4 linked regions of the Caenorhabditis elegans genome follow. The protein of the gene in region 1 purifies or fractionates together with the protein of each later gene. This does not show direct contact. Each region holds a gene or a part of one and is shown in the gene's direction. Other genes may lie near its edges.

Region 1 (8,179 bases):
GCTAAATCTTTCAGAATTCCGTGGCCTAGAAAATTGAAAAACTCTTCCATCTAAAAATCATCAAAATTATATACTCCAAAAAAATGTGGAACGTGCCGAGAGTAAATCACTTTTAAATCAGTTTCTTGAACCCATTATTCAGATTTTTGATCAGTGGAAAAGAATTTGATTAGGTAAAAGTAATCGTTTTAACAGATTCTATTTTTAGTTTATTTGAGTGGGTTGACATTAAAAAAATAAAACTCCTGGATTCACTGAAATTACAAAAAAACCAAAGTATAATATTTCAAATTGCAAAAAAAAAATCGAGGACCTTCATTCCAAAAAAAACAATAATGGGCTGCAGAAGAAAAGGGTGGCCGAAATTGAATAGAGCTGACATACGCACGAAAAAAAAGAAAAACAATAAAAAATTTCTTCTTTCTTTTTGGGAGGAGGAACCTATTTTTTAGATTTTTTTTTGAGAAAGAGCAGGAGAAAATGAAAACACTCGATTCGGTTGTGTGAGTGACAGATGGATGGATTATAATCAAGATATGGGGGAGTTGAAGTTGAAAAGAAAAAGAGTTCAAAGATGAGAATAATATTGAAAAAGTAAGTGAAAATACTCTTAATCTCTAATCGGGCCGGTAAACGGGCTTTTTGAATTAAATTTAGGAGCTCTGAGAGCAGAAAGAGCAGATCTGGGAGGCTTGGGGCTGAAACGAGTGGTAGCGGGCGATAAAAACCTCGAAAGCTGAAAATAGGTTGGAGCGGGTGCGGGAAATTTGTCGGCAAAACTGCAATCCTAACACTCGCCGGGTCAGTAGGACATCACTAGTTAAGCTCAAATGTACAAATCGTTCTAAAAAAACTCAACTTGTTCCTCCTACAATTCGCAGAAAAACTAGAGAGACGAAAAACAAAACAATTGTGTCTGAATGTACCGTCCTCTTGAAAGGGCACTCATTCACTGAAAAACAAGAAAATGACGAGAGAGAAAAAGAGATTCACATCATCTGAAGAAAAAGAGCCGCCAGCTTGTTGACTTATCTAATCAAACCGCTTCTCTCGTCTCTCCCTGTGTCCATCAATTTTCGCCGCTCTTCGTTCACGTCAACAAAGTTTGGGTGTCCAGCTAGCTTTTTCCGCCTGGTTATAGAACTGGCAAATTTTCGAACCTGTCTGCTTACTCCCGCCAGTGTCCTATAATTTAAACGCGACTGCCCATTTCACTCCGGCTTCTGCCCTCTATTGCCCGCTCTGACGGCTACTATCCAGGCGGATTTTTTTGGTTCTGCAACTTCTGCAATTGCTGGTTGCCGAAAATCTCGCTTGCCGTAACATCCCTGCTCCTATCGCCCAGTATTACCCATAGTTGCCTAGGCTGATTTACTCACATAAAAATTTAATGCTCAGAACATGAGCTTTTTGTGCTCTCTTACTAGTTATAATGCGAAAAAGCTCAATTTTCATCTCGTGCACGATGGGAGGATTTTTGAGCAACCTTTTCGATTTCTTTAAAAATTTTAGTATCAGGATTATTAAAAACACATAGATATTAAAAAATATTGTTGAAAAATTCCCACCCACTAATTAGAATGACGTGACTTAAAAAAAACAAAAAGAATGAAGAAAACGAGGAAATGGGGGAAATGTGGGTGGAAAATGAGAGGAAAGGCAATAAAATACATACATACACTCACCCCCGGATATACAATTATTGAGGATGAAGAGGAGGAGGAGAAGAAGAAAATCTGGAAATTGAATAATAATAATTTGTAGCAGGAGTAGGCAGAAAACTATTTTTCCGGCAAACCGGCAAATTGTGGTTTTTTTGTGAAATTCAGAATTTCAATTTCAATCGGCAAAATTGTACACATCCTAGGAATGTTCATACATCTATTTTTAAAAGTAAGCAAATTATATAAAAATATCTAAAGAAAACGGGAAAAGTTCAAATAGGCACAGTTTTAAGTATTTTCGTCTTATAAAAAATCCCTCTAAATATTTACGGCAAATCAGATATTCGGCAAATCGGCAAGCCGGCAATTTGTCGACAAAAAAATTTGCCGGAGCAATTGCCGCCCACCCCTGATTTGTAGTGCGATTAAACAAATTCAACAATATATTTTAATAGTTTTCAAGAAAAAATGTTTTTTTTTTAATTCAAAGTTAGGCAGGGGTCATGATATTGGGAAAATCGTGAGGCTGAATTTTTCTGCAATTTTCAAATTTCCAAAACTATGCACAATGAGCTTCTCGAGAGACTCCTTTCTCTCTCTCTCTTTTTTTCGCTTCGTTTTTTCTATTTTCTAGAAGGGACGCGCACTCACTCACGCTACACTCAATTTAGTTAAATTGCTCTAGAATGTGTTGCTGGAATGGGGAAAAGAGGAACAACGTCATCTCTCGAGAGCTCTCATAATTGGGTGAACGCATCACTGAACACACCACGACAACTTTGGCTGGGCAGGAAAATGAGTTTATGGGAGAAACGGGAAAGTGTTGGAAATGTTGTTTTTTGTAAAGATTGACTGAAAACAATTTTAAAAATTTAAAATGTTCCTGTGATTTTTTTAATTCAGAACTTCGAGCCTCCCGCAAAATTTTTTCGGAAATTTTAAACTGCTTGAATTTCCCGCCTGAATTATTTGAAAAAATAATTTTTCCGACAACGTTTTTTTTGATGAAAACTTAGAATTAAAATACTATAAATCCTGAGAATGCGTATTGCGCAGCATATTTTACGCGCAAAATATCTCGTAGCGAAAACTACAGTAATTCTTAAAATGACTACTGTAGCGCATGTGTCGATTTACGGGCTCAATTTTTGAAGTTATTTTTTTTCGAATAGTAACATCGAAATATCATTTTCATTCGTTTTTTCGTATTATTTTCCCTTTTCTCTTAAAGTTAATTTTAAAAATCGAACCCGTAAATCGACACAAGCGCTACAGTAGTCATTTAAAGATTACTGTAGTTTTCGCTAAGAGATATTTTGCGCGTCAGATATGCTGTTCGCGTTTGGGGAATATCGATCGTCACTAGTCAAAAATTTTAGAGGGGTATATAATGTTTATAATGTTTATATGACAATTTTTAAAATAATGCATCTATTTTTCATTGAGAAATTTTTATTAATTGTTTTTCTTATATTCATTTGAAACTATAACATCATATCTTTGATTAATCATTATTTAAATCTTAAAATTTCTCGAGCCCTATTTAAATAAAACTTAATTAAATTTATCGACAAGATCCCGCAGAAAAACTAAATTTGAAATTCCCTCTCATTGTGTTGCGTACAGCACACCAAATGTTACGCAACTTTCTCTGCGTCTCTCTCCATCGCATTGTCTCTCTTCTACCGTAACCTTCAAGTTTTCTCTTCAAAAAATAGTTTTTCAAATCCAATTTTCGTTCTTTTTCTGTTTTCCCGCTGTAAAACTAAGAAATCTGAACAAAATGCAATTTTATTTCTTTTCCCAAGCTTTTTCTTATCAATCAATCTCTTTGTTCTCTTTCTCCTACTCTTCTCCGCTTCAAAACTTGTTATCAAATCGTACTACTGCTTTCTGCACAAGTATATATTATCTCCCTCAGTCTTATCGTTATATTTTACATTCATCGCTACTATTTTCCATCAAAAAGTAATCGTACTATTCAGAGAAAATGAGCTCGCTCACCGACAAAACCCGAAATGGAGCCCTGAAGCGGAATCTGCTCCGCCAAATGCTCAAAGCGAGCGTCTTCAAATTCGGCGAGTTTCAGCTCAAGTCTGGGCAGATTTCACCGATTTATATCGATCTTCGCGAATGCTTTGGGCATCCGGGGCTTTTGGTGAGTTTTTTAAAGTTTAAAAAAAAAATAATAGCTTATTTTAATGATTTTTATTTAAAAGAAAACTATTTCCAGATGCTTATCTCAGAAGCGATATCGAAGCAGGTGGAGATTAGCGAGGTTCAGTACGCTGGAGTTCTTGGAATCCCATACGCGGCTCTTCCCTACGCATCAGTCGCCGCTGGAAACTATCTGAAGAAGCCGCTGCTCATCGTTCGCAAAGAGGCCAAGTCCTACGGCACGAAGAAGCTCATCGAGGGATTGTACCAGCCAAACGATCGTCTGATCCTCATCGAAGACGTCGTGACGACAGGTGGAAGCATCCTGGACGTGGTAAAAGTGCTTCACACAGAGAATTTGGTCGCCTCGGATGTATTTTGCATTCTGGATCGAGAACAAGGCGGGCGTCAGAAGCTCCAGGACGCGGGTGTCACGCTGCACAGCCTGCTCGACATGCAAACAGTTCTCACATTCTTGTACTCAACTGGAGCGATCGGTGACGAGCAGTGGCACGGAATTGTTCAGGTTAGTCAAATTATCTCGATTTTCTATTTAAAAATAAAATAATTGATTATTTCAGGCTCTCAACCTTCCGTACACCTCCCCAACAAAGCTGGAAATCAACAGCGAGCTCGAAAACCTGTCCAGTCTACCGTACGTGGAAAACGTGCGAACTCCGCTTGCGGAACGCGAATCCCTCACAGAATCTGCACTCATCAAGAAAATTCTTGGAATCATGCGCCGGAAGAAGTCGAATCTGTGTCTCGCTGTCGACTACACTACCGTCGAGCAGTGCCTTCAGATGATCGAGCTCGCTGGTCCATTTGTGCTGGCGATCAAGCTTCACGCCGACGCTATCACCGATTTCAACGAGGAATTCACGAGGAAGCTGACGACGATGGCAAATGATATGGACTTTATCATTTTCGAGGATCGGAAGTTTGGCGACACTGGAAACACGAACCTTCTTCAGCTCACTGGAGCCCAGAAAATCGCCAACTGGGCGGATGTTGTGACTGTTCATGCCGTACAAGGAAGTGACAGCATTGCAGGAGTCTTCAGGAAGCTCGCCAAAGATCCGACTTACAGGCTCAGTGGAGTTCTCCTCATCGCGCAGCTCAGCACCAAAGGATCTTTGACTGCGCTGGAAGGATACACCGAGACCGCCGTCAAGATTGCCAACGAGAATCGTGACGTGATTTCTGGATTCATCACTCAGACGAGAGTGTCTGCTTGCTCGGATCTTCTCAATTGGACGCCCGGTGTGAATCTCGACGCGAAATCCGACTCGGCCGGTCAGCAGTGGAGAGGTGTCGACGAGGCGATCGAAGTACAGCAGAACGACATCATCATCGTCGGAAGAGGCGTCACGTCGTCCAGTGAGCCCGTTCAGCAGCTCAAGAGGTTTGTTTTTTTTTTTTTAATTAAATTTTTAAATGTCAATTTTCTCTTTCAGATATCGACAAATCGCCTGGGATGCGCTCACGAGAAGCGACGATAGCATTTGAAAGTTGAAAAATCCGGAGAGCCTATTTGTAAAGAAGAAATGTGAATATTTATCTAATTACGTATTTATTTAACTTTGTTGATTTTGTTCAAGCTTCCCCAGAATTGTTGAAATAAGTAAATTGATTGCCTCCATCTTCCTCAAATTATCAAGAAATCACATGCCCACACCATTTACTTTACTGCTAACCTGATTAATCAATATTTTCTCCGTCAAGGCGAAAAGCTACTCCTCTAAGCGATCTTATCAGTTCGAAAAATCGGCATCTGATGTGTGAACGACCCGGTGTGTATTCTATAATGTCCTTTGATCTTTTCCTCCATGCTGAAAACATCAGAAACGATTCGATTCCTTATCAGTGCCGCCGCGAAGTTGATAAAAGACACGAGCATCACTGCTCCGGGTGCATTTTCGCTTCATTTCTCCAGTTTTTCATCTTAAAATCTACAGAATGACTCGCATTCTTCCGTGTCTTTTCCTTGTCTTGCTCGCCGCTGCTCCACTTCTAGCCAATCCAGCTAACCCACTCAATCTCAAGAAGCATCACGGTGTTTTCTGTGATGTCTGCAAGGCTCTCGTCGAGGTTTGTGCTCCAAATATCTCCAATTTTCCTCGTTATTCACATATTTCAGGGTGGAGAGAAGGTTGGAGATGATGATCTCGATGCATGGCTTGATGTGAACATCGGAACTCTTTGCTGGACTATGCTGTTGCCGTTGCATCACGAGTGTGAGGAAGAGCTGAAGAAGGTCAAGAAGGAGCTGAAAAAGGATATTGAGAACAAGGATTCTCCAGACAAGGCGTGCAAGGATGTTGATTTGTGCTAAGAATAATAAATGTTTCCTTCAAAATCATCAAAATATTCTTTCATTTAACAAAAACAGAAACAACGGCGAAATTGGTTTGTGCGCGTGGAATTTTAGAGTTATAAAAATTAGAACTCGTGTTGGTTCTAGTTGTTGAATGGGGGAAAAGTTCTCAGCTACCCTGAGAACACGTAAACTAGAAAACCACACACGGTAGAAGGGAGGGGGTATAAAATTAGAAATTAGAATATAATTGTCTCGAAACACACACACACATACAAAAGAAAGTTATCTGGATAAAATATAGAGTGTGGTGAGGACTGATAATTTACAGCGGCGATTTAATAGCACCAATTAAGCACTATGACACGTGGATGTGAGGAGTGATTGTGAGATGTGGAGGTGAAGTCTACTGGACAACGCAGCATCCTCGCATGAATCGAACGTGGCGGCGGCGGAGTGCTCCGAGCTGAAAATTTAAAATAAATATACTTTCTTGAGCAATATTTATAATTACCGCTTGAGGGGAAGGTTTCGCCTCCAGTGCCATATGTTGAAGCTCCTCGGTTCTGCTGAGAATCCTGACATCATCGTCGACGCTGTCCACTTTTGCGATTGGCACATGTTGCTTTGACACTATCGCCTGCAGTGCTGCAATGCGATCTTTGATTGTGGGATCCGCACGATTGCCGTCCAGCTCGACGTTGACTACTACAGTCTTAGCCTTCTGCTCTTCTTTTACAGGGGACAACTGCTCGGCACTTTGTGATACTTTCATCGACTTGTCGATCATTGTCATCGGTTCCGCTTCATCTTCACTGCACAATGAGTATGGAACATCTGCGTCACTCTGAAACTAATTTTAATAATTTAATTCAGAAAATCGCATCAGCAAACCTCCACGGAATCTGCTCGTTTTCGGTGATCATCCTTCAATGGAGTCTCAATGACTGTGATGATCTCCGAGGATCCTGGTCCACTGCCATTACTGTCGACTGTTTTGAGCTGGAAACCATCGGTATCTTTGACTCCGAGCTAAAAATTTCAGTATTAAAAAACAAAAACTTGATTATTAAAATATTAGTACCTCTGCAAATAGATCCTCATTCAATTTAGTCTTGGATGCAAAGTACTCTCGATCCAATGAAGACATTGAAGATTGTTCTTTGGCACAGAACGCGTTCTCAGTTTCCTCTTTAACTGGATTAGGAGTAGTGACTTTTTGTCTGGCTTCTTGCTCGGCGACGAATTCGGCCAGCTGCTCCTTCCCGTTCGCAATGATGCTACTGTGAGTAGAAGTGCTTCTGAAGATGACATTTGTCACTTCAGTCTCCGCGTGTTCCTCCTTCTTTGACGCCGAAAACACTTCATCCACTCTAGGCGCGGAGCCTCCAATTTCTTCGAGAACCTGCGCATAAATGGATTTTGGCTTGTGCTCTGCAAAGTTGACGCCGGCATCGAACTTCTCGATGAGATGCTTGATGGGTTTCCCGTTGGCGAGTTCTGCGGACACCATAGTTTTTCTTTCGGCGGGCAACGGCGGCGTCGCGTGCACTTTCGCCTCTTCGGAAGCGTTTCTGAAAAGTAAAAGTGTTGATGGTGGCGGACGATAAGGGAAACTTACTGTGTCATGGAAAGAGTTGCATCCGCATGTGAAACTGATTGAATAACTGCTTCAAAGGCGGCATCAATTGATTCCGTGAGCACTATCGGAGCCACAATCTCTTGAGCCTTGAAAAGCTTCTCAACTTTTGCCTCCTCCACAATAATCACATCAGCAACCATTGCACTGTCGACCTGATCGCTTTCAGCAGCGATTCTCTGATCTTCTTCAAAGACATCGTCTTCCATCTCCATCTTAGAACCGTCAACCTCATCCTTATCCTCAACCGGCGATGAATTTTCCGAGCGAACCTGAAAATTTGAATATACTAAAAATTGGGTATACTTCCACCTACATCCTTCCCAGACACCCATCCTTCGTCATCAGTCATTGAAGACTGTTGTGCCAGAGACCTTTGCGATGGAGAGTTGTCGGACTTGC
Region 2 (6,718 bases), on another chromosome or scaffold:
ATCTGGTGTGGTGAATTTGTATTTTAAAACAAATCCACGGATCGTTTCAAGACCCGCATCACTTTGTAGCATATTACTGATGAATGCAACTGTGAGGAATGGTCCAGTAGTTCTAACGACTTGGGATTCAAGAGTAGATGAACATGTTTCAAGAATACGATGTTTATCATATGTAGCATAACCATCGTATATTTCCAAAGAGTTTTGATCGCATTTTTCAATGTCTTTTGAATGCATTGAAACTGGAGGAATAGTGACTTCGATTATTTTCCCACCGGGAGCCGAAATAAACCATTCACAGACAATGTCTTGGTGGTTTTGTGGGACGGAGATTATTCCTTCTGGTTTTGAGCTACGGTACCCGCATTCTGCAAATAATATACTTCCAATTGAATTATATAAAAATTCCACTAACTTCTTTCAACGGTTTCCCATTTGATAGTAAAAGAACCTTGGGTTCCTCTAAATCTCAGCATTGCTCCTGTTGAAGTCATTGTGATTGGAGTGTCACTCAGCGGTGCGTGAACACTGTGTGAATCTCCACAGAATGTTGCAAACTCAGAAGAACTGTCTTCTGGTCCATCGTATAATGTCAAATTCGCATCAGTTTTGGCACAATCTGTAGGTCCTGATCCTTCTTGCGTAAATTTATCAAATTCTGTGAAAGTCATTACAACTGCAGAGTTTGCAGCAGGAATATTGAAGACGAAATCACATATGGACAGTTCCGTTTTATTCGATCGTTGTAGGTCGAATGTATAATTTCCGCTCGAATGAGTGAAGTGAGAGCCACAGTCTACAAAATGAGTTTTGTTTTTGAGGTTTCAGTCTCTGCTGATGTCTACTTGACAGTGACTGCGCAGTCCCAGAACAACCTTCGGTGGCTAACTGTTACTCTTATTTGTAAGGAGCAGAGAAACCAGTCAAGTTTTGAGCAGGCAGTGGCGGTATCGGTAAGACTTTGGTACAGGCTTTGGATCTAACTTCTGATACTGTAGAATCTTGACTGAAGAGCGTGGCATGGTGAGTCCACTTTTTTAACAACTCTGCCTGTGAAACCTACCAGCAGTTAGATCCAAAATATGTTCAAAAGTCTATACTAAGTTTGCCCAAGGCTAAAGCTGGGCCGCTCCTTGTACAGAAAACAAGCAATAAAAATTTTATTAATGAATTTTCTTACGTTCTTCCTCTTCTTCGCATGCCCTACCAAAGAAGTGCTCTGGACAGTCGCAATAAGCAGAATTTTCAACGGCAATACAAGTTCCTCCATTTTTGCAAGGATTCGTTTGGCACGGTGATGTTTTCTCACAGAACTTTCCAAGAAAACCAGCTTCACATTCACATTTATATTCGGTGTCGCTTGTTGGCTGAAAACTATTTTTTGAGTAACAGTGCTTACTTGTCTTCATTTGTGTTACCTTGCATTTCCCAGCATTAACACAATTGTGGTTCTGGCAAACGTTACTTGCTGACTTAACACATCCTTCCTCTCCAATTCCGTCACCAACATATCCATCTGGACAGTAGCAAGTGTAGTCTCCAACAGCACTGTATCCGTCGTCAGTTACCTTGCATGTTGCTAATTTATGGCATTTGTTTTTGACACAACTATCATCTTTCACACAATTTCCTCCATCGCCGGAGTATCCAGTCGGACACGAATCACAATAATAACTGCCAAGAGTGTTATGACATTTTGAAAGCGGAGAGCATACACGAATTTCACCTTCACATTCGTTGACATCAATACAAACATTTCCATCGGCTGAATTTATTTTACTTTTTGGATTTCAATGACAGATATTCAGTACATTTTTCGACACCTTCAAACTAACAAATTCTGATTTTTCACATTGTTAAGCCGAAGTTTATAAGACTTTCTCTCCTCATTCTCGGAACTGAGAAATCCAAACAAGTATTTTCACAAAAAAAGCTTGAAATTTGTAAGTGTTATACAGGGTAGGCACTTGTTCAGGCGTACGTGTCTACCTCATGCCTACCACACACCTATTGACCTATTTAAATGCCTACTTACCTATTTTATGAAAACGTTTTGGATACGAGTATATATTTTCTAGACAAGAATTAAACCAAAAAAATTATTTTATTTTTGATTTGATTGAACATATATAATTCTAACTTACTTTTATATCCTTTTGGACATCCGGAACACACAAACGATCCAGGCAAATTAATACAATCAACTCCTGGATGACATGGATTTGATTCGCATTCATTGACATCAACACACGTTGGATTGTTCTTATCACTTGAAACCTTGAAACCCCAATCACAAATACACTTGTACGTAGTTGTATCGGAAGATGACTGACCAGTTGGATCCACAATACTCTCAATACAATGCCCATGTGGACCACACAATTCAAAAGTTTTCGAGCAAGCGGACATATGATACTGACAAAGAGATCCATGATATCCGGATTGGCACTGACATTCAAATCCGCCACGGTTATTGATACATGTTCCATTGTTCTGACATCCAGCAGTTGTACCATTGTATACTGAGCATTCATCGATGTCAGCTTCACAAGTTGTACCGGTGAAATGTGGAGGACAAAGACAAGTGAATTTGGCGCCAAAAGATGGGATACATGTGCCTCCATTACTACATTTGTTCGGATCGCACGCGTTTATTGCTATCAATTTGTTGATTCCTCTTGAAAGTTAACAATTTATAAAAAATAGTCAAACCTAACTTGTTGTGTCTTACATGATTTGACGTGTCATTTTCACCAATAATCCCCGTCTCCTCATGTCTCTGGCCATTTTATCAGTTTTCCACTTCTTCAAGATATTCACTTCGAGTGTCATATTTCGAAGCTAAAAATTGATTTCAAAAAGAGAAAAAAATGTATGGAATTACCGCTACTAGATAATGTTTTGCAGAATTTAAAACCACTCTCATTGCAGAAGTCTGCGTGTCCTGGCGACTTTTCAAAGTGGTGAACATTTGAGAAGTGTTCTCAATACGTCCAACAAGTTGCTTGAAAGATGCCTGAAAATTATTTTGAATATTGAAAATTGTAATTCGAGTTAATTTTCAAAAACTTCCATAGTTCAAACATTTTCAAACAATTATTCATTTTGAAAAGTTTTATAAAAATAATAGAACTTAATTATCAAAATTTACGTGACCGTTTCTCAGGAAAGTGATTCTTTTTAAATAGTTGTCAAAAAGTAAATTTTTGCGTGATCTCCGACTATCTAATTCCAACTCTTACTCGTAATCCACGTTTCGTTCCTTTTTCTAATCTGACCGTCTATGTTTTAATCAGTTCTTGAAACATGGGCAAGAAGAAGTCTGATACGGCATCCGGTGGAGCTATTCCAGAAGGAGACAATGAGAAAGGAAAGAAGGTTAGTTAAATTTTTCATTATAGTGTTCCCAGAAAACCTATTGATTTTCAGATCTTCAAACAACGTTGCGAGCAATGTCACGTTGTCAACTCATTGCAAACAAAGACTGGACCAACATTGAACGGAGTGATTGGAAGACAATCCGGACAAGTTGCTGGATTTGACTACTCGGCTGCCAACAAGAATAAAGGAGTTGTATGGGACAGACAAACACTTTTCGACTATTTGGCTGATCCGAAAAAGTACATCCCCGGAACTAAGGTAGGATTTTCTAGGAAGTGCGATGGAGTATTAATAAGAAATTTTCAGATGGTCTTCGCTGGTTTGAAGAAAGCTGACGAACGAGCTGATCTCATCAAATTTATTGAAGTGGAAGCTGCCAAGAAACCATCGGCATAAGCCTCTACTAAATAAGAAATCTGTGTGTTAAGCAAAGCAACGTATCAAAAATAAATGTTTTGTAGAAGCTCGTTCATTTTTTTTTTGGATAATTTCAGCAGTCTACCTACAATATCTGGAAGTTTGGAAACATCTGTTTCGTCCACATATATTCTTCCATTTCCAGTCGTTTTGAACGTTATATTTTTATCCTTTCCGGCATGCAACCACACATTTCCATCAACCATTAGAATACGTGATCTGAAATGTTTTCGGACGTAATTTTGAAAAAAAATTAAAGGATTCGTTACCTTGTTTCATATGAATCTTCGATGTGTATTTCTTCATAGTCAATTGAAGATACATGATTTAATAAGCCGAATAGTATTAATGAAAGAAATAACTGTAAGTTAGGTATCATTTGTTGCGAAAATGAAATGAAATTAATGGAGTTGCACGGTGGAGGGTGAATAATTTGTTTATGTCATTGATACCTGATTGGAAATTGAGACGATCCATTTGTTTATAACAGATTATGTAAGAGAACACCTGCCAATGTTTAGGTTATGAGTAACTAGTGGGCCGTTGAATTTGTGTTCGGTTTTAATGAAAAAACTGTTAAGCTGGCTGAAACTCAGGTATCAAAATATGATGGTGTTGAATACTCTCCAAATAATCGCTCTAAAAAAGTGTCAGGCTGTACAGATATAACAAATGTATCTTATTAATAGTTCAAAAATAATATTTCGTGCAAACTGATTGGTCTGGCATGTGGTAAACAAATAAGCCAGCAGTTGAGATGTAGGCAGGCACGAGGTAGGCACGAAGACAATTCCACTGCTTTAATTGGAAATATTTTCAGGTATTAATCTGCTTTTTCAAAAATATTTTCTTACACAACATTTCGCATAAATTTCGAATCATTTATTGTTTTTTTTTTCAATTATTTTCGTTCGCATAAAGGCAGTGTGAGGAATGAAATCATAATATGAAACAACGATGGGCTGGGCAAGTTCCGTAATACTCTTCTATTTTCTTCCATAAGCATAATAATAGTATGGAGATGTATAATAGTAGTAAGGTGGCTGAGCAGCCACAGCTCCAGTCTGTTGAGTTCCTTGCTGATGATTTTGAGTATTTCCAGATTGATCATATTGAGGCGTGTATTGCTGTTGTTGTTGTGGTTGTTGCTGCATTTGGGATGATTGATCATATTGAACCTGTTGGGTATTTCCTGATTGATCATACTGTACTGGTTGCTGTTGAACTCCTTGTTGGTATTGAAGAGTTTGTTGTTGCTGACCCTGTTGCGTTTGTTGTGGATAATACTGTTGTTGTTGTTGTTGGGTTCCTTGAGCATACTGTTGGTTTTGTTGTGGTTGCTGTTGAGCATAAGCTTGTTGGGAAGCTCCACCAGCCTGAGTTTGCTGAGCAACTCCAGTGGTACCAGCAACTGCAGCGGTTGGATAATAGTAATAGTATGGTGTGTAATAACTTGTTGGATAATACAAGTATTGGGCAGAAGCCACAGCAAGAAGTGAGCAAAGAGCAAGGAGGCTGAAAATTTACGAATGAATGATGCACATCCTACCTAATGATAACATAAATCGTTTGCTAGAAAACTTACGTGTTCATTTCGTTCGATTGAAGTGAGCAGAAATGGTGAAGATTTTTCGTTTGATCATTTTTATACCTTATTTCAATGGGTGTGTCTAACCCAATACTGTCATCATCAGTTGCATTCCGAAAAAAACTGCGAAAAAACTCCACGATTGTATGTTTTTCTTTTATTCCATCCATGCCAACCACAAAGTTACTGAGTAAACTCGAGGTCAAGAGAAAAGAGCCCAATCAAAAGAAATAGTGAGAAAGCAAAGAGAGCAAGACTCTGAGTTTGTTGACTTTCAAAAGGACTTCATTGAGAATGGCAGTTGGCGGCAAGCTAAAACGGTTCAATTTGATAATGGTGATAATGATCAAGGCTCAAGATTGATACCTTAGATTGATATTTAATTAAAAGTGCAAGATGCTAAATGGCTATAGTAATAACATTATCAAATTACAAATCTGTAAAACTGACTCATCTGAATCTAAACAATGGGTCAAATTTCTAGTAAGCTCGAAGTTAATAATTACTAAATAATTTTTAACAGAAAACTTTGAGCTTTGAGCACGAAAAATTCGACGACTTTTCATGTAAATAAACGGCTGGAAAATCATTTTCAACTGGTCTAACGTTGTTATGCCAAAAATGATCATTTTCACGGTTTGAACCAAAATTATAAAGAGTTTAGTGACTTTTATGTGATAAACTTCTACAGGGATCTAGCAAACATTATTTTAGTCAATCTCTGAACCTTGGATACCTTCTAAGTCATATGAATCAATAATAACTGTGATCAATTTATGGTCAACCCATGTTTCCAATCTTATTAGTAATATACAATTCCACAAGAAACCACGATAAAGACCACGGGTAAACACTACATTTTTTGTTTGTAAGTCATTTTGTGTTTCTGAAAAATAGCAAACAAAGCAAGGATGTACATGCGTATTTCGGGAGTCCCAAGAACATGTTGTTGACAAGAAAATGACAGAAAAAGTGAAAAGATAGAAATTTGCAGATTTTCAGTATTTCGCGCTTCTTTGATCTACTACTTTGTGTGAAGATGGAATGTGAGGAGAGAGGTGTAGAACAAACTATTTTTAGTTTTTTGGTGATTTGTAGGAGCCACTGATGGAATTTGGGAGTGTGGCGAGTAAGTATAAAATGGTAACGACACACTGGACTTAATCATTCTAAATATAACTTTCCCCAAAATGAAGACGTGAGTCTCAAATTTAATATAAAATTTAATTTGCTTTTGTGAATCAGTTTTTCATCTAGAATTGTTATTTTAACGTTAGTTTTATTGAATCTTTTTAAAATAATAGTTTTGATATTTAGTTTAAATTTTGAAAC
Region 3 (8,661 bases), on another chromosome or scaffold:
ATATTGAATAACAGGGAATTTTCATTTTCTATAGGCAGTTTTATATGAAATTACTTAAAAATGAACGAAAAATTCAATTTTTGAATTTTAAAACTCAAAAAGTCAATGAAAAACTTAAGATTAAAAGTTTTAGGCAGAGATTTTCAATTGAAAAATAAAATAAAATTAACGGAAATTTTTTGGTGCAAACACGCTCCACGGAACTCTACAAATTTGCGTTATTTCGGAGTGTCGTTGCGATGACTTTGAAAAATCTTTTTGTCAGCATTCCAACATTTTTCGAAGTTTTCCACCATTTTTCCTGCTTTTCTAGCGTATTTTTGATTAAAAATTTGTAGAAATTAAGTGGAAGTTCGCTATTGAATAGGTTATCTGCAGAAAATCACTTGTGAGACAGCAGAAATCAGGGAAATCGAAGTTTTTCGTTAATCAGTTTTTTCTAGATGGTTTTCCGTATTTTTCCTGTCATTTTTATTGTTTTTTTTTCTCAAAATGTTTTGTGAGATCTTTTCAAATACAACATTAATTCCAGAATGGCCACCGCTGACGTCAAATCCACCGTCCCACACATGGACATGGACCGTGGAGGCGCGTTCGACTTCTCCAACTGCATTCGTAATCAGGCAATGTGCAAGATGGGCGGAAAGGCTCCAAAGCTCACCAGTACCGGAACCACCATCGTCGCCGTTGCCTTCAAGGGCGGACTTGTGATGGGAGCTGATTCCCGTGCCACCGCCGGAAATATCATCGCCGATAAGCATTGCGAGAAGGTTCACAAGCTCACTGAGTCGATCTATGCCTGCGGAGCCGGAACCGCCGCCGATCTCGATCAAGTCACAAAGATGCTCTCTGGAAATCTCCGTCTTCTGGAATTAAACACCGGGCGCAAGGCTCGTGTGATCACCGCTCTTCGTCAAGCTAAGCAGCATCTTTTCAACTATCAAGGATACATCGGAGCCTACTTGCTCATTGGAGGAGTCGATCCAACTGGCCCACATCTTTATATGTGCTCCGCCAACGGAACTACAATGGCCTTCCCATTCACAGCTCAAGGATCTGGATCATATGCAGCTATCACTATTTTGGAGCGTGATTTTAAGGTTGATATGACGGTAAGTAGTCTATTTTTGAATTCCAATGCGCTAAAAATACTATAATTATATTTTTCAGAAAGATGAAGCCGAGAAGCTTGTCCAACGCGCCCTGGAAGCCGGTATGCACGGTGACAACGCCTCAGGAAACAGTTTGAATCTTGTGATCATCGAGCCAAGCGAGACCGTCTTCAAGGGGCCAATTGTGCCAGAATTCTGCAAGCGACCAGAGCCCAACGACCTCGTCTACAAATTCCAGGCCGGAGCCACCAAGGTGCTGAAACACAAGACCTACAAGTACGACGTCGTCGAGTCCATGGATATCACTCACTAAATTGCGGTCTTCTGTCGATGTGTGTATTCTTTCCCCCAATTATTTATTTTTTTTCGATTTTCCATCCGTTTCGGTGTCGTCGGTGATTACTTTTTTCGGTATTTTCGTATCCGCCGGCAGTTCTTATCACATTTGTTTTATAAATTCCGAATATAAACTGTCTATTTTCCTTAAAACTGGTATTGTTTGTTGTCTTAATTTGGACTGAAAGCCGGAAAAATGACTTGAAAAACGCTTTCAAGTGTTTTTCCCAATAGTAAAAGTTACTCTCCGGGTTTTAAAAGGAAAAAACTGCGAAATGAATAGATTTTCCAGATCTGAATTGAAAACTTTCTGCGAAAAACTAATTTCCACCTGAATTCTTCTCAAAAGTCAAGAGAGAAGAGTCAAAACTCACAAGAAAAAAATAATCCGATTTGAATTGCCGCGCAGAGAGTTAGATGTGCAGGTCATATAGCAAACACGCTCCACCCACCAATCATTGGCGCGAAACATTTTTTTGTATCTTGTTCTGACTCATTTCCCTGCCTTCCCCGTCGTAATCAGTGTCGTTTTTCCGAAAAATTCCAAATTTTATCATTATTTTATCAGTTTTCCATAGTTTACCCTCATTCGGCCGTGTTCCGGCCCTTTCAAAAATGTTTGTTTTCACGTAAAATCGAATTTTGAAGACGTGAAGCTTCTTCAAGTTGAAATTCAACATTTTCAAATCATTTTGCGATTTCACAAGACGGTTTTCTGCTGCATCTTCCTTGATTAATCTCCGAAAGCACGTATGTTTCAAAATGACTCAAAGTAATCCCATTGGGAATTGCGAAATTCCCATTGTTATTCTCTGGGTCTCTTACAACGGGGTTTTGGCTCCCTTGCAGTCCACTCCTTTGCACTCATTTCAATCCGCTCTCCACTGGCGCCCCGCTATTTCGTCATCATTTTTTTGCAATCGATGACTTGTCCACCGCGGTGTCCGATGTTGGGCTATGTTGAGAGAGCGCGCGCGCTCGTGCGTTCTCGGCCCTATTTGGGCTCACTTTCGTCTCTGCTCTCACCGCAATCGTTTCGTTCTCATATAACAATTGTCTTTCTCTTTTAAAACTTTATAATTTTCTTTTTCAGAAAAGAAAATGCGTGAGGTCATCTCTATCCACGTCGGACAAGCCGGAGTCCAAATCGGAAACGCCTGCTGGGAGCTCTACTGCCTCGAGCACGGAATCCAGCCCGATGGAACCATGCCAACTCAATCAACGAACGAGGGAGAGTCGTTCACCACTTTCTTCTCAGACACCGGATCCGGCCGTTACGTTCCAAGATCCATCTTCGTCGATCTCGAGCCAACTGTCGTTGACGAGATTCGCACTGGAACCTACAAGAAGCTCTTCCATCCAGAGCAGATGATCACCGGAAAGGAAGACGCCGCTAACAACTACGCTCGTGGACACTACACCGTCGGAAAGGAGCTCATCGACACCGTCCTCGACAGGATCCGTCGTCTCGCTGATAACTGCAGTGGACTCCAAGGATTCTTCGTCTTCCACTCCTTCGGAGGAGGTACCGGATCCGGATTCACTTCGCTTCTTATGGAACGTCTTTCCGTCGACTACGGAAAGAAGTCCAAGCTCGAGTTCTCCATCTACCCAGCTCCACAGGTCTCAACCGCCGTCGTTGAGCCATACAACTCGATCCTCACCACCCATACCACCTTGGAGCACTCCGACTGCGCCTTCATGGTCGATAACGAGGCCATCTACGACATCTGCCGCAGAAACTTGGATGTTGAGCGACCAAGCTACACCAACCTCAACAGAATCATCTCCCAGGTTTGTTGAGCTCAATTTGATTGTTGTATTCTAATGTTCTCTTTTTACAGGTTGTCTCCTCAATCACTGCTTCCTTGAGATTCGATGGAGCCCTCAACGTTGATCTCAACGAGTTCCAGACCAACTTGGTGCCATACCCAAGAATTCACTTCCCATTGGCCGCCTACACTCCACTCATCTCTGCTGAGAAGGCCTACCACGAGGCTCTGTCCGTCAGCGACATCACCAATAGCTGCTTCGAGCCGGCTAACCAGATGGTCAAGTGTGATCCACGTCACGGAAAGTACATGGCTGTGTGCCTCTTGTACAGAGGAGACGTCGTTCCAAAGGACGTTAACACCGCCATCGCTGCAATCAAGACCAAGAGAACCATCCAATTCGTCGATTGGTGCCCAACCGGATTCAAGGTCGGAATCAACTACCAGCCACCAACTGTTGTGCCAGGAGGTGATCTTGCCAAGGTGCCACGCGCCGTCTGCATGCTCTCCAACACTACCGCCATCGCTGAGGCCTGGTCTCGTCTCGACTACAAGTTCGACTTGATGTACGCCAAGCGTGCCTTCGTCCACTGGTATGTTGCCCGTTAAACTATACTTTTCAAATATTCAATGTGTTTCTTTTCAGGTACGTCGGAGAAGGTATGGAGGAAGGAGAGTTCACCGAGGCTCGTGAGGACTTGGCTGCTCTCGAGAAGGACTACGAAGAGGTCGGAGCTGACTCCAACGAGGGAGGAGAAGAGGAGGGAGAGGAGTACTAGATGCTCCCACAATCAACTGCCTGGCGATTGACTTTTAATTTATTACTGCAGTTCGATCGTCATAAACAATGTATTATGAAGTATTTTATTTATATAATGTTTTTTGTTAAAAAGAGAAAGAATGAAAGTCGGAACACTTTACGTTTATACCGAGTTGAGTGCCGCAGAGCAAACATGTACAAGCCGACAGTATTTGAGCAGCAGACGCTTGTTCTGCTCATCGATCAGTATTAGATTACAGAAATGGCTGGGCATGTGAATGGAACATGTGCTCCAGTGATTCCAAAGGTTGGTGATGAGGAAGACGGTGTCGGGCAGTTGGTGGCAAATCTGAAAGAGAAGGGAACAAATTTTGTTCTTTTGAAGAAGACTCCACAGATACTTGAATTGCAGACAATTTTGAAAGATAGGTATGAAGTTTGACTGGGAATAGACTGAAGCCTCAAACATTTTATGGGTGAAAATTTAAAGAAAGGGGCTGAAAACTCATATTTCCAAGCTCTTTTTCCAGATTTTGCGGAAAAATTAACGATTTTCGGTATTTTTGCCGGAAAAACTTGTTGATTTTAAATAAACTCCTTTTTTGCCTTAAAAAGCGATTTTCTTGGAATTTAGATTTTAAAAATCCGTTAATTCACAAATTTTCGGGTCAGAAACGGCATTTTAAGCGATTTTGCCAGTAAATTAGGAGAAAAATAGAAAACGTTTTCATTTTTTGGCCTTTTTGCCGTGAAATTAACTGAAATTTTGATTAAAAAACGTTTTTTTTTGTTAGAAAACATGAATATATTTATTTATATAAATGAATTTTTCAAGGATTTTCTCGGATTTTGAGTCAAAATTCCGATATTTTCATAAATTTCCGGGTCCGAAACGGTATTTTTCGTGATTTCCTCGCAATTTTAGAAGTTTTCCTTGTAAAAATTGGTTGAGGCTCAGAGAATCTTGTAGTTTGTAGTTTGTAGCCCCATAGCCTCAACCATCTTCCAATTTCCAGATCAACAAATCACTCGGATTTCGTATTCAACGCGGATCGTCTGATGCGGCTTGTAATTGAAGAATGTCTCAATCATCTTCCATTCACTGAGCACACAGTTACCACACCAACAGGCTTCAAATATGAAGGAATTCAATTTAATCGTGGAAATTGTGGAGTATCGTTGTGTAGAAGTGGAGAGGCGATGGAAGTTTCATTGAGACAGTGTTGTCGGTGTATTCGAATTGGAAAAATTCTGATTGGTACGGGAAATTGAGGATATCGAGAGGAATTTGGGAAATTTCCTAGAAAAGGCGAAGAAAATTGAGAAATATAGAAGAAAATGGCGAAAAATCACCAAAATCATTGCGATTTTCATCAATTTCTCCCTGAAATTACCTGGAATCTCTTATAAATGCAGATTTCTGCTTGAAAAATGGAAAAATCTGGTGAATATCCAGTTTTTATAGATTTTCTCCTGAATACCCCTCAAAATCTGTGAAAAGTCTGACTTTTCCTTCAAAAATACCTCTAATTCGTAGAGAAACTCGTTTTTTCAGCCGAAAAATGTTTTTTTTTTTAAATCTGTAATAAATATGTACTGTTCTTATGGTAAAATTCCTGAAAAATATATTAAAAATATATATAATAGTAAAATTTGCGTTTTTACCCAGAAAAGTGGTAGAAATCGTGAGTTTTACTGAGTTTGTCGAAAACTGGCGATACTTTTTTAAAAGAAAAACCTCAAAACTCGCAAAATTTCCAATTTTCATCCACTTTTTGTTACAGGCGACGAACAAAAAGTGCTCTACGCCAGGCTTCTTCCGGATATCACGTCGCGTCGAGTTCTACTGCTCTACCCAACGATAGGGTACGCTCAGAGACTACAAACTACAAAAAATATCTGGCCGAAATAAATTTGATTGAAAAATCTGAGAAAAAAAACACAAAATTTAATGTCAAAAAATCGATTTTCCCGGCGAAAAATCGTAAAATTCAATAATTTGTTTGACGTAGAAACTTTAAAAATGTCGATCACTAAAACTTCCCCAGAAGGCGAAAAATTGTCTAAAAAATTGAGTTTTTTTTTGTGCAAAAAAAATCTTTTTTTGAAATTTTTTTAACTGAAGAAACATTTAAATTTAAAAAATCACATTTTTATCAAAATTTCCAATTTTTCAGATCTGGGACGACAGTTTGCAAGGCAATTGAAGTCCTAAAAGAGGCACGTGTCCCAGATGAGAATATCTACTTGGTTTCCCTATTCATCTCACCGACTGGACTCAAGAATATAACCAGAAAGTACCCGTATATCACTGTCGTCGCCTCCGATATCACATCTCTCTATCCAAATCATTTCTCAACCAGCTATTTTGGTGCTGTCTAGACTAGTTTTGTGTAGTTTGTAGCCTTTTGACACTACAAACTACATCGTTTCCGTTTCAAATGCAGTATTTTTATTCACTTTTCTCACTTGATCATCTCTTCATTTCTCGTTATTGGTTTGTAGTTTGTAGTTATTGTAGTCTTCTTTTTTACTTTTTCACTGTTGATTTCCCCTATTTTTTTTTGACAAAATGTTCATTGAATTTCCGCATAACTAAATTCTTTTGTGTTGTTTTCGGTTCATTAAACATTATTTTAAGATGCAATGACTACGGTAGTCATTTTCTGAGTACATGGTGTGCGTACAGGGCGCTATATTTTACGCGCAAAGTTGAGAGTGAGATTTTTCCTCATTTTTTGGATTTTCACTGCAAATTTAAGAAATTTTACGAAAATAAACGTTTTATTTCAAATTCTATTTGCTACTTTGCATGCAAATTGTTTTTTTTTCATTATATTCTGAAAATAAAATAAGTTAAAATTAGCCGTTTCAAAAAAAGTTTCCGAAACTACGGTAGTTCTCGGAGTACGCAACTTGCGTACCGGGCATCTCATTTGACGCACAGAATTCCTAGTTTATTGTTTTTGGATTTTCAAAATTTCAAACATAGTTTTTGCATTTTTCCTGTCGTTTTTGTGATTTTTATTTGTGAAAATTTATTAGACAGAAAAGAAATTTTCAGTTTTCACGAAATTTACTGGAAAATTTGTTATTTTACCGTTAGGTAACGTATTTTACAAAGATATTTCACTTTATCCGTATTTTCTTATTGTTTTCTTCACTTCAAACGATTGAAAACTGAATCAATCAAATAAATTTCCTATTTTTCAGGTAATTTGTCAAAATGACTGGCTCATCTCGTGGAATTGTCGAAATGACAAAGAAACTGGATCGATTAAATTGTTAGTGTTAAAATGAAATTTGCATCGGATTCAGTTTAAAATTTGCTTATTTTCAGATCGAAGAAAAGACCACTTACGCTTTTAAGCATGCCAGTTGATGTTATGGAGAAAGTTATGAAGAAAGTGGATCCATACGATTGGTATCAAATTTTGAATGTTAGGCAAATGTTAAAAAAAAACCAAATGAGTTTCAGGATTTCCGTCCGCAATTCCAATCGAAATCTTCGAGATTTCGTCGACAGCCAGCACCTCAAATTGGACATTGATGTTTCTATTGAGGGCACTTTTCACACCATTGATATCAATGGAAATCAATCCTTCGGACCTTTCCATCCGGTCGTGGCTGATGATGAAAGAAGAACCATCTACAATAAAAGACTACAGTTTGCTCTCAGAAAATTGTTCGTGGTTATGAAGCTTCCAAGTGCCCAAATTGAAGAGTTCAAACTGGATTTTGACTTTATGGGAAGAGGAAGTGACGAATTTGAAGATATCTACGATATTGGTTCCAGAAGAGTTAGTTTTAAAAATAAACTGTTGAGTGCAAGCCTGAGAACAATCGATAAGGAGTTTGGAGAGTTTCACTGTTTCCAAGCGAAATCAGTTTCTCTGAGTGGACTAAAGGAACCTCGAACTGTGCTCATTCTCAAATCTTTCAAGTCTGGAACTCTCGAGAACATTGAAATCATTAATTCCTACAAGTTCTACTTCAGTTGGCAGCTGACGCTTTCGGAGCAGTGGAAGAATGCGAAAAAACTGAAAACTGGACTTTCCACTGATCGCTACACCGGAATTCGAGTTGCTGAACTGTTCGCATTTTCAAATATCGAATTCACAACTGTAGTATTGTCATCTGATTTGAAAGTGGTATAGAAATTCTTAATTATTGATTAATTAATTTTAGATTTTTTTTCAGTTGGTTGATTCGTCTGCAAAGCTGGAAACTTGTCTCAGCAGGAACACGTATGACAGCGAGGATGACAGCGATGAAGATAGTGATGAAGACAGCGATGATGAGGACAATAGTGGAGTGTTAACGGTGTCAAAAGAAGTGCTCAAAGTGTTCGATCCGAACTTTGTTGGCTATAACGGAACAATCAATTACAAAGCAAATGGATTCGAATATCTCATTGAAGTCACTGAATTCGAAACTAAAATTGTGAAGAAAATCGAATAATCTTCTCATTTTTCAAAATTTGCTTTTGTTTTACTAGTCACATGAATTCTTATTTTGTTACTTTTTTTGTTTTGAAACTGATTAAACCAATAATTTGGGTTACGGCTGAATGTTACCTTCCGTTTAATATTTTGTAATCTTCCCAGTTTTTCTATATTTTAAAAGGAATTCTCGAATAGTTAACAAAGATCCTTTTCCAAACTACGGTAACTCTCAGAGT
Region 4 (7,935 bases), on another chromosome or scaffold:
GTTGGTCCGAATAGGATGTAATAGAACTTTCCCTGATATTTTTCAATTACGTTTCGGATCAGAACAGACAACCAGGAGCCAAACTCGATAATCTCCTGTGGAGAAGCTTCATCGATGTCTTGACTCAAGTTGAGGAAGAGTTGGGTCAACCCGGAACGAACTTTCATCTCGAGACCTATCAACTGGCCCGGTTTAGCAGTAAGAACCTTGATAATCGAAGGACGGAGATCAGCGTCGATCATGATTGCAGCTTTTACCATTATACGACGTTCAGAGAACTTCCAATTGTGCGTTATCGTTTCCAGGAGTCTTCCAAAACCATGAAGGGAGCCTCCGAGTTGATCACGCAAATTCCGGCAGATGTTCAGGAAGACTTGAGCGCGGATCTTTGTGTTCATTGTGATCGTGATGGATTTGATGAGGCCACCTGTTAAAATACATTTAGATTTATAAACGAAAATAAAAATATTGCAACACTAACCACATGCAGTGAAAGGATCATTCTCTAAGAATTCTTCATCGTCGGGGCGGAGTGAGCTATTGAGAAAGTCAAGATTATCCAATTGCATTCGACGGAAAAAATCGTGGGTTGAAACGTAGGTTTTGACTCGTGAGCACAACTTTGTGGATGTCAGTGAAAGCGCATTAATGGATTGCACTGAAAAATGTGAATGTTAAAATTTCTGATCAGTACTTCACAACTAACTGTCAAGAATTGTGAAAATATGCGAATAGGCTCTATTCGGCAGGTTTTCCAAGCCCACTGGTGCATCTGGAGATGGCACACATTTCGAGGAAAATTTGACAGGAACACCTAAAAGTGCTCGCAAATCCTCCAAGGAGTACAAAAGCCCATTGTCTGGTGAATCGGTATGAGAGGTTTGAGATAAGTTGTTGGGAGCTTCGAAACTTTCTGAAAATCAAGAAAATTAATTTTAAATTAAAAGAAAAATTGTCGTACCGTCCAACTTCTGGCATACGTTTTTCGATTCAGAGCTTGAACGTTCCCGTTTTACTGTTGCAAAGAACTTCGTGATTGGGGGCGTCGAATCGGAATTTCTTCGCTTTCTAGCCAACAATCGGAACGGTGGCTCGGTTCGCCGAAACATTTTTATACGAAAAATACTTTAAAATCAGAGGAAAATACTTTGGGACCGGTGAAAAAGCATGGAGGTTCGCACAAACTTGTTTAGGAAAACAGAAATATGTCTCCGTGGCAGGACCATACTGTGCGCCGTTGATGTCCCTTTGATACAGTACTCTTCGCATTATTTATTTTTTTTCGGCGCGCCTAGGGGTTTTCGAGCGCAGAGTTCAGGAGGCCTTCTGGATTATGGATAGAGGCTTGATTTTTAAAATTGTTTAATTCAATACAGTTTTATTAAAGTTTTTTCTAAAAATCTTTTCTAAAAATAATATCTGATTGCTGTTTATACACGAGAACAAAACTAATTTCATGGAAACAATTTTTTCTCTTTATTTTCTCTTCGAATAATTTAAATTTTAACAATTCAGGTTTTAAATAATCAATTTTTAAATAAGCAAGTGAATTTTAAGCATAACTTTTCTTCCTAGTGTACGTAAATCATTCTTTCCAACAAACATATTTTTTCGTGACGAAACTTCGCCTTCCAGAATATTCTTTTTTCAGAAAATAAATACCAAAAAGCACAATTTCTTATCTCTTGCTCATTCTTTTCTTTGTATCGTGCTCATGCTTTTATTCATTCCTCATTTTTATCTTGCGAAACCAATGTATTTTCAATAAAAAAAACGAGTGATGCATGTGCGCTCCACCGGCCGACGGAAGATCGAACATGCACTGCGCTTCGCGAGTAAATAGAACGCTCTGGAAAGTTCCGCACTCTTCTCTCTCATGATTCGGCGCACTCTCTCTTCCATTTCTCCGTGTTTCCTCTTCTGATGTTGACCCATATTTATTCTGCCGGGTGTATTCTTTTTATCTATCTGTTGCTTCATTTATTCCGTTAACCTGTTACTGGTTAATATTTCAAAAATTCATATGATTTCTTTTCAGATTACTTTCCACAATGGGAAAAGACTACTACAAAGTGCTGGGCATCAGCAAAGGTGCAACAGACGATGAAATCAAAAAGGCTTATCGTAAAATGGCTTTGAAATACCATCCGGATAAGAATAAGGAAGCTGGAGCTGAGAACAAATTCAAGGTATTTTTTAAAATTTAGTTTTCTAATTTAAAAAAAAGTTTTTGGTCCTCGGTGAAGGATACTGTACTTTTCATGACCAAGTTGTTATTTTTAAGCACTCGATTTAAAAACGATTTTAATCAAAATATAGAAAATCCCAGTAAAATTGCAGTTTTTCTGGGAATTTATTGATGTTAACCTGAAATAATATTTTTTTTAATTACAGGAAATTGCCGAAGCTTACGATGTTCTTTCCGATGATAAGAAAAAGAAGATTTACGATCAATTCGGAGAGGAAGGACTAAAGGAAGGTGGACCAGGAGCCGGAGGTGGTGGCGGCGGTGGAATGCACTACGAATTCCGTGGAGACCCAATGAACATTTTCTCATCATTCTTTGGAGGATCCGATCCGTTCGGTGCTGGTGGACCTGGAATGTTTGATCTTGGTGGTGGAGCCGGAGGCCCGAATATGTTCTTCATGAATCAAGGTGGTATGGATGACGGTATGTTCGGCGGCATGCATCAAGGTGGAAGACGTGGACATGCTCGTCAAGATCCTGCTGTGCTCCATGATCTTTCTGTCAGTTTGGAGGATGTACTGAAAGGTACAACGAAGAAGATGAAGATTACAAGAAAAGTTATGACGGACAATGCTCAACGCCTAGAAGACAAAGTTTTGACGGTCACTATTAAACCAGGATGGAAGTCAGGCACAAAGATCACATTCCCAAAAGAAGGTGATCAGCACCCGAACAGAACTCCCGCCGACATAGTCTTCGTCATCAAGGATAAGCCACACCCGAAATTCAAGCGAGAGGGATCTGACATCAAACGCGTCGAAAAGATCTCCCTGAAGTCTGCATTGACTGGCCTTGATATTATGATTCCAACGTTGGATGGAGCAGACTACCGTCTTCAATTGAACGATGTCATTAAGCCGGGAACTACAAGACGGTAGGTTAAAAATTTTGAGATTCACGAGAAGTAAATTATTAATTTTAATTCTTTCAGGCTGACTGGAAAAGGACTTCCAAATCCAAAGTCTCCATCTCACAGAGGAGATTTAATCATTGAGTTTGACGTGGAATTCCCATCACAACTCAATCCAACTCAACGGGAAGTGATTCTGAGGAACTTCTAATCGCATTTTTCAATTTTCCCTCTCTTGCTTATCAATCAACTACAGTCGAACCAAGACGGGTAAACAATCACTCTTGATTGCCATTGGATTCGATTTAGCAGTATTCAGTCGCCTTGTTCGATGTTTTCAAGCGGGTATTTAAGAGATTTTTTATTAGGATGTTGTTCTTTTTATCACCCATGTTTCATTGTTAATTACCCATCTCACACATATTGCCCATAGTTATTCAGATGCATTTTTTATCGTTTATCAAGTCTCATTCTAATGACATGAAAACCTTCATTGACAAGATACTCGGTGTAATTGTATCCCCCCTCAACCGCCCCCTCTTTCAATTTTAATTCGTGCTTCCTTATCAACATTTCCGATAAATAAACTTTTAAATTAAAGCAAAAGAAAGTTTTGTGATTTTCGTGTGTTCAGTTGATCTGTCTCCTCATCGTATCGATTGTCTTGTCCTTGGCCACGTGGGGGTAAAAGATGATATCGGGCGTTGAAAGAAAGGAGATGAGGGCACACCATCATCATTCTTTACCAGTTTGCAGCGGCAAAAATGCTGACCAGAGGATTCACGTCAATTGGCAAGATTGCAAGTAGAGGTAATTAATGTTTCAGTTAATATTTAAGGCTGGTGTAGTCGAATTTAATTAAGACTGCTGTAAAAATACAATAAAAACCGCAACAATCACCTAAAATTAGCCGAAAACAATAATCAACATATTAATTATATGATTGTCCGAGAGGAGTACACGCAGAGGGCGCTCGTTCGCGCGCGAAGTTCAAAAAATTTAGAATTATTCGCTATTTCGAAGCCATAACTCACGTTAACGAAATTTTTGTGATGTATCGTTTTTACATATCGTCTAAATTCGACTACACCCAAAAAATTATTCTCAAACTTGAGCTCACCCTCCAAATATTTCAGGTCTCTCGTCGACGTTCTACCAAGATGCTTTCCAGCTTTCGGATCAGCTCACTGAAGACGAAAGATCTTTGATGCTCTCGGCTCGGGAATACTGTCAGGAGCGACTTTTGCCACGTGTCACAGAAGCTTACAGAACTGAAAGTGAGACACTCCATACCGAATTCTTATTTAATTTTACCATAGTCTTGATTTCCAGAATTCGACCCATCCCTGATTCCGGAAATGGGAAGTATGGGCCTGTTGGGCGCCCCATATCAAGGATACGGCTGCGCTGGAACATCAACTGTTGGCTATGGACTCATCGCTCGTGAGGTGGAACGAGTCGATTCGGGATACAGATCTACGATGAGTGTGCAAACGAGTCTGGTGATCGGACCGATCTACAACTACGGAAGTGAGGATCAGAAGCAGAAATATATTCCCGATTTGGCGAGTGGAAAGAAGATCGGATGCTTCGGATTGACCGAGCCGAATCATGGATCTAATCCAGGAGGAATGGAGACAAAGGCCACGTAAGTCTAGAAAATATTTGATTCATTTTCAAAACTCTTGTGTTTTTCAGCTGGGATGAGACCACAAAAACCTACAAATTGAATGGATCGAAGACTTGGATCTCCAACAGCCCTGTCTCTGATGTGATGGTCGTTTGGGCGAGAAGTGCTCGCCACAACAATAAAATCAAGGGATTCATCCTGGAACGTGGAATGAAGGGACTGACGACTCCAAAAATTGAAGGAAAACTTTCATTGAGAGCCTCGATCACTGGACAGATTGCAATGGATGATGTTCCAGTACCAGAGGAGAATCTTCTCCCGAACGCTGAAGGGCTTCAAGGACCATTCGGATGCCTGAATAACGCACGCCTCGGAATCGCGTGGGGTGCTCTCGGAGCAGCTGAAGAATGCTTCCATCTCGCACGCCAGTACACTTTGGATCGCCAACAGTTCGGACGCCCACTTGCACAGAATCAGCTGATGCAGTTGAAGATGGCTGATATGTTAACTGAAATCTCTTTGGGTCTTCAAGGATGCCTTCGTGTGTCCCGCCTGAAAGATGAGGGAAAAGTTCAATCAGAGCAGATCTCGATTATCAAAAGAAACTCGTGTGGAAAGGCTCTCGAGGTGGCACGAAAGGCGAGAGATATGCTTGGTGGAAATGGAATTGTGGATGAGTACCATATTATGAGACATATGGTGAATTTGGAGACAGTTAACACTTATGAAGGAACACACGATGTACATGCTCTGATCCTTGGAAGAGCCATCACGGGACTCAACGGATTCTGCTAATTTTTTCTTTTTTTTCCTTTTTTCACTTATTGTCTAGTCTTGTCATAGTCTATTGCTTTTCAACGCAAAAAGTTTTATTTCATTCCCAAAAATATTGAAGTTTCAATAAATATGTAGCACACGTTGGAAATTCTTTCTTGTTGCTCAATTAGATCAGCCTTTCGAGGAGAGTCTGAAAACATAAAATTTAGTTAGAAAACGTGGTGTTTTGTCAAATTTATTACGCTCCGTATCACAAAGGAGTGCACAGAGTTGATACTCAGCCAAATGCCAAATTATAAATATTGAATTAAAATTCCAGAAAATCAGAAACTTTTACATAACTTTGAATAAATTTCAGCAATGACCTGCAAGTCTTTTATGCATTTATTTGAAACAATTCAGGTGGGTCTCGACACGAATGAAATGTTTCAACTACAGTACCCACTCTCTCGACTCTTTCTAAATATATTTAATTTTCTTTAAATAGATATGAGCTATAGAATTAAAAATTGTGTTCAAATTTTTACTTTTATTTCCAAAACAACCATATTCACAGGGGAATCCGAAAATATCAACAAAAAAAAATGAAACGCTCCGAGTTGAAATCTAGCTGAATTACAAATAATTGGATATTTAAACAATGATGTTTTAAGAATTTTCAGAATTTGGAAATTTATAAGATTACATTAGTTATCTGTGAATTGTATGGAAATTGGTCTCGAACTCTGTATAATTGGAGAATAAATTAATTTTACAGTCATAAATACTAATGGAAAAATTACGGCTTGTCTATTTAAATACACTTATAATGATTTAAAAAGACCGAATAATTTAATAAAACACTTCAAAAATTTTTTCGATTTTTCATAATTTCCGGCCAAAATTTTGTCAAATTGCCAAAATTTCGAAAAATATGAGCTTTTGAGGATATTCTAACTTCGCATGTTTTGACCCTATAATGTTTTAGTACAAATAGCTAGAACAAAACTTATAGTATAAAAATGTAGGAAAAAAACAATTTTTTTGGTCGACTTCCAAGAGTGACAAAACTGAGTAATTGCCACTTTTTGACTGTAAATAAAACATTTCCAAAAAATGCTTGAAAAGTTTTATTATGATATTCGATCATTTTGGCACCATAGGAGTAGTTTTTGATACTTTCCTCACTATCGCTCCTCCACCTTTAATGAATTCGATTTCCCAAAAAGAAATCCTCGACTTTCTTTTCTCCAGAAACATCCAAAACTTGAAATTTTTTCTGGTTTTCGTCAATCTCGTGGTGCGAAGTGATTCCATTCAACTTAATAGAAAAGTTTGAATCGGATCTGATTCAAGAAACGGAGCGTCCTGTGGGCTTGAAGTGTTCTTACTGAGCCCATACAGTCATTTCTCCCCCAGCAAGTCGGATTCCAAAACGTATCTCACCGATTCGCATGTGGTGTCAGACTGTCCCATCGCTTCACTGCACATGAGAAGCGGGAAACTTTTTTTTTGAACATTTATGACGTCACAGCGCATTTCGAATGAATGTTTTTCAATGATTTTCGTTTTTTTATAGTATTTTACTTCAATTCCGCACTTAACTTGCTAAATTGTTACAATTTCGGTGATCAATATCAATTTTAGAAGTCAACATGAGAAAGTTATTTGAAAAATTATTGGGTTGAACCGGAAGTCTTTGTGACTTTTTCAATCGTTTATTTCTCGAAGCAAAAGAAACTTCAGGATAAATTTTATTTGCTATCATTATCATCGGTATACTGCCAACGTGTGCGCAACTTATGAACGTCCTGCTTAAAGAACCCTTCCAGGCGCAAGTCGAAATAATGCTTGAGTGCCATTTCGACACTTCCATGGGAATTGAAGGTTCTTTCCCAGAGGTTACGAGTCACATCGGAAATCAACCAGTTTTCAGATGGGACAATGTCTGGAGAATACGGTGGGTAACGGAGAACCATCCATCCACGCCTGACCAGTTCTTGCAATACTTGTTTCAAGCCGTAGGGACAAACGTTGTTTTGTTGAAAATAGAGTTGCTTGTCCATCAGGGGTGAACGATTGAAGACTTTCTTCAGGTTTCGTGGTTAGATAACGTAGAGGCCCCCAGTAATTATTTTGCTATCAGGTAGCAGTTCCCAGTAGATGGGGCCGTACACTTCTCACCACACTGTGAGCATGACTTTTTTGGGGTGAAGGTCGGGTTTGGCGGCATCCTGTGGGGTCTCTCCTTCTCCAATCCACTGGGCACGCCTGTGGTTGTTATCGTAGAGGTCCCACTTCTCGTCTCCAGTAAAAACTGGGTCCAACCATCAATCGCCCCCGTGGAGAATGAGGAGGGAAAGGGAATCATCCACTAAAAAATCAAGATTGTCTTGTGTCATGGTGTGAGGTATGAATCCACCCCTAATTTTCTTTATTCCGAGAGCTGCC

Evidence for each region.
Region 2: the proteins of umps-1 (region 1) and cyc-2.2 fractionate together in Caenorhabditis elegans (co-fractionation; one large-scale study listed by BioGRID). This does not show direct contact.
Region 3: the proteins of umps-1 (region 1) and C47B2.2 fractionate together in Caenorhabditis elegans (co-fractionation; one large-scale study listed by BioGRID). This does not show direct contact.
Region 4: the proteins of umps-1 (region 1) and F54D5.7 fractionate together in Caenorhabditis elegans (co-fractionation; one large-scale study listed by BioGRID). This does not show direct contact.

The regions. Positions count from the first base shown.
Region 1 is NC_003281.10:10,353,119-10,361,297, reverse strand, and holds umps-1 (Orotidine 5'-phosphate decarboxylase), read left to right. Parts: upstream 1-3,649; 5' UTR 3,650-3,654; coding exon 3,655-3,822; intron 3,823-3,897; coding exon 3,898-4,347; intron 4,348-4,402; coding exon 4,403-5,226; intron 5,227-5,278; coding exon 5,279-5,330; 3' UTR 5,331-5,461; downstream 5,462-8,179. Other genes in the region: spp-1 (Saposin B-type domain-containing protein), read left to right, coding at 5,781-5,912, 5,962-6,156; T07C4.3 (ANK_REP_REGION domain-containing protein), read right to left, coding at 6,545-6,604, 6,653-6,991, 7,033-7,170, 7,223-7,712, 7,760-8,049, 8,094-8,179. UniProt on the Caenorhabditis elegans protein: Bifunctional enzyme which catalyzes the formation of UMP from orotate in the de novo pathway of pyrimidine biosynthesis. May also form UMP from uracil. Regulates the size of gut granules during embryonic development.
Region 2 is NC_003283.11:12,608,806-12,615,523, reverse strand, and holds cyc-2.2 (putative cytochrome c 2.2), read left to right. Parts: upstream 1-3,305; 5' UTR 3,306-3,306; coding exon 3,307-3,378; intron 3,379-3,429; coding exon 3,430-3,639; intron 3,640-3,687; coding exon 3,688-3,777; 3' UTR 3,778-3,842; downstream 3,843-6,718. Other genes in the region: cubn-1 (Cubilin homolog), read right to left, coding at 1-368, 416-796, 1,181-1,367, 1,419-1,765, 2,145-2,677, 2,732-2,841, 2,885-3,016, 3,888-4,017 and 1 more; ZC116.1 (Prion-like-(Q/N-rich)-domain-bearing protein), read right to left, coding at 4,785-5,313, 5,384-5,556; ZC116.5 (Conserved secreted protein), read left to right, coding at 6,577-6,584. UniProt on the Caenorhabditis elegans protein: Electron carrier protein. The oxidized form of the cytochrome c heme group can accept an electron from the heme group of the cytochrome c1 subunit of cytochrome reductase.
Region 3 is NC_003279.8:12,960,152-12,968,812, reverse strand, and holds C47B2.2 (Phosphoribosyltransferase domain-containing protein), read left to right. Parts: upstream 1-4,233; 5' UTR 4,234-4,242; coding exon 4,243-4,409; intron 4,410-4,996; coding exon 4,997-5,238; intron 5,239-5,764; coding exon 5,765-5,846; intron 5,847-6,157; coding exon 6,158-6,362; 3' UTR 6,363-6,771; downstream 6,772-8,661. Other genes in the region: pbs-2 (Proteasome subunit beta), read left to right, coding at 534-1,112, 1,171-1,425; tba-2 (Tubulin alpha-2 chain), read left to right, coding at 2,550-3,242, 3,293-3,813, 3,867-3,999; fbxa-140 (F-box domain-containing protein), read left to right, coding at 7,352-7,404, 7,459-8,131, 8,181-8,441.
Region 4 is NC_003280.10:11,543,663-11,551,597, forward strand, and holds F54D5.7 (putative glutaryl-CoA dehydrogenase, mitochondrial), read left to right. Parts: upstream 1-3,854; 5' UTR 3,855-3,862; coding exon 3,863-3,908; intron 3,909-3,959; exon of another isoform or gene 3,960-4,109; intron 4,110-4,234; coding exon 4,235-4,375; intron 4,376-4,430; coding exon 4,431-4,746; intron 4,747-4,796; coding exon 4,797-5,523; 3' UTR 5,524-5,650; downstream 5,651-7,935. Other genes in the region: F54D5.9 (F-box domain-containing protein), read right to left, coding at 1-427, 482-658, 707-913, 962-1,109; dnj-13 (DnaJ homolog subfamily B member 13), read left to right, coding at 2,052-2,189, 2,395-3,122, 3,180-3,309.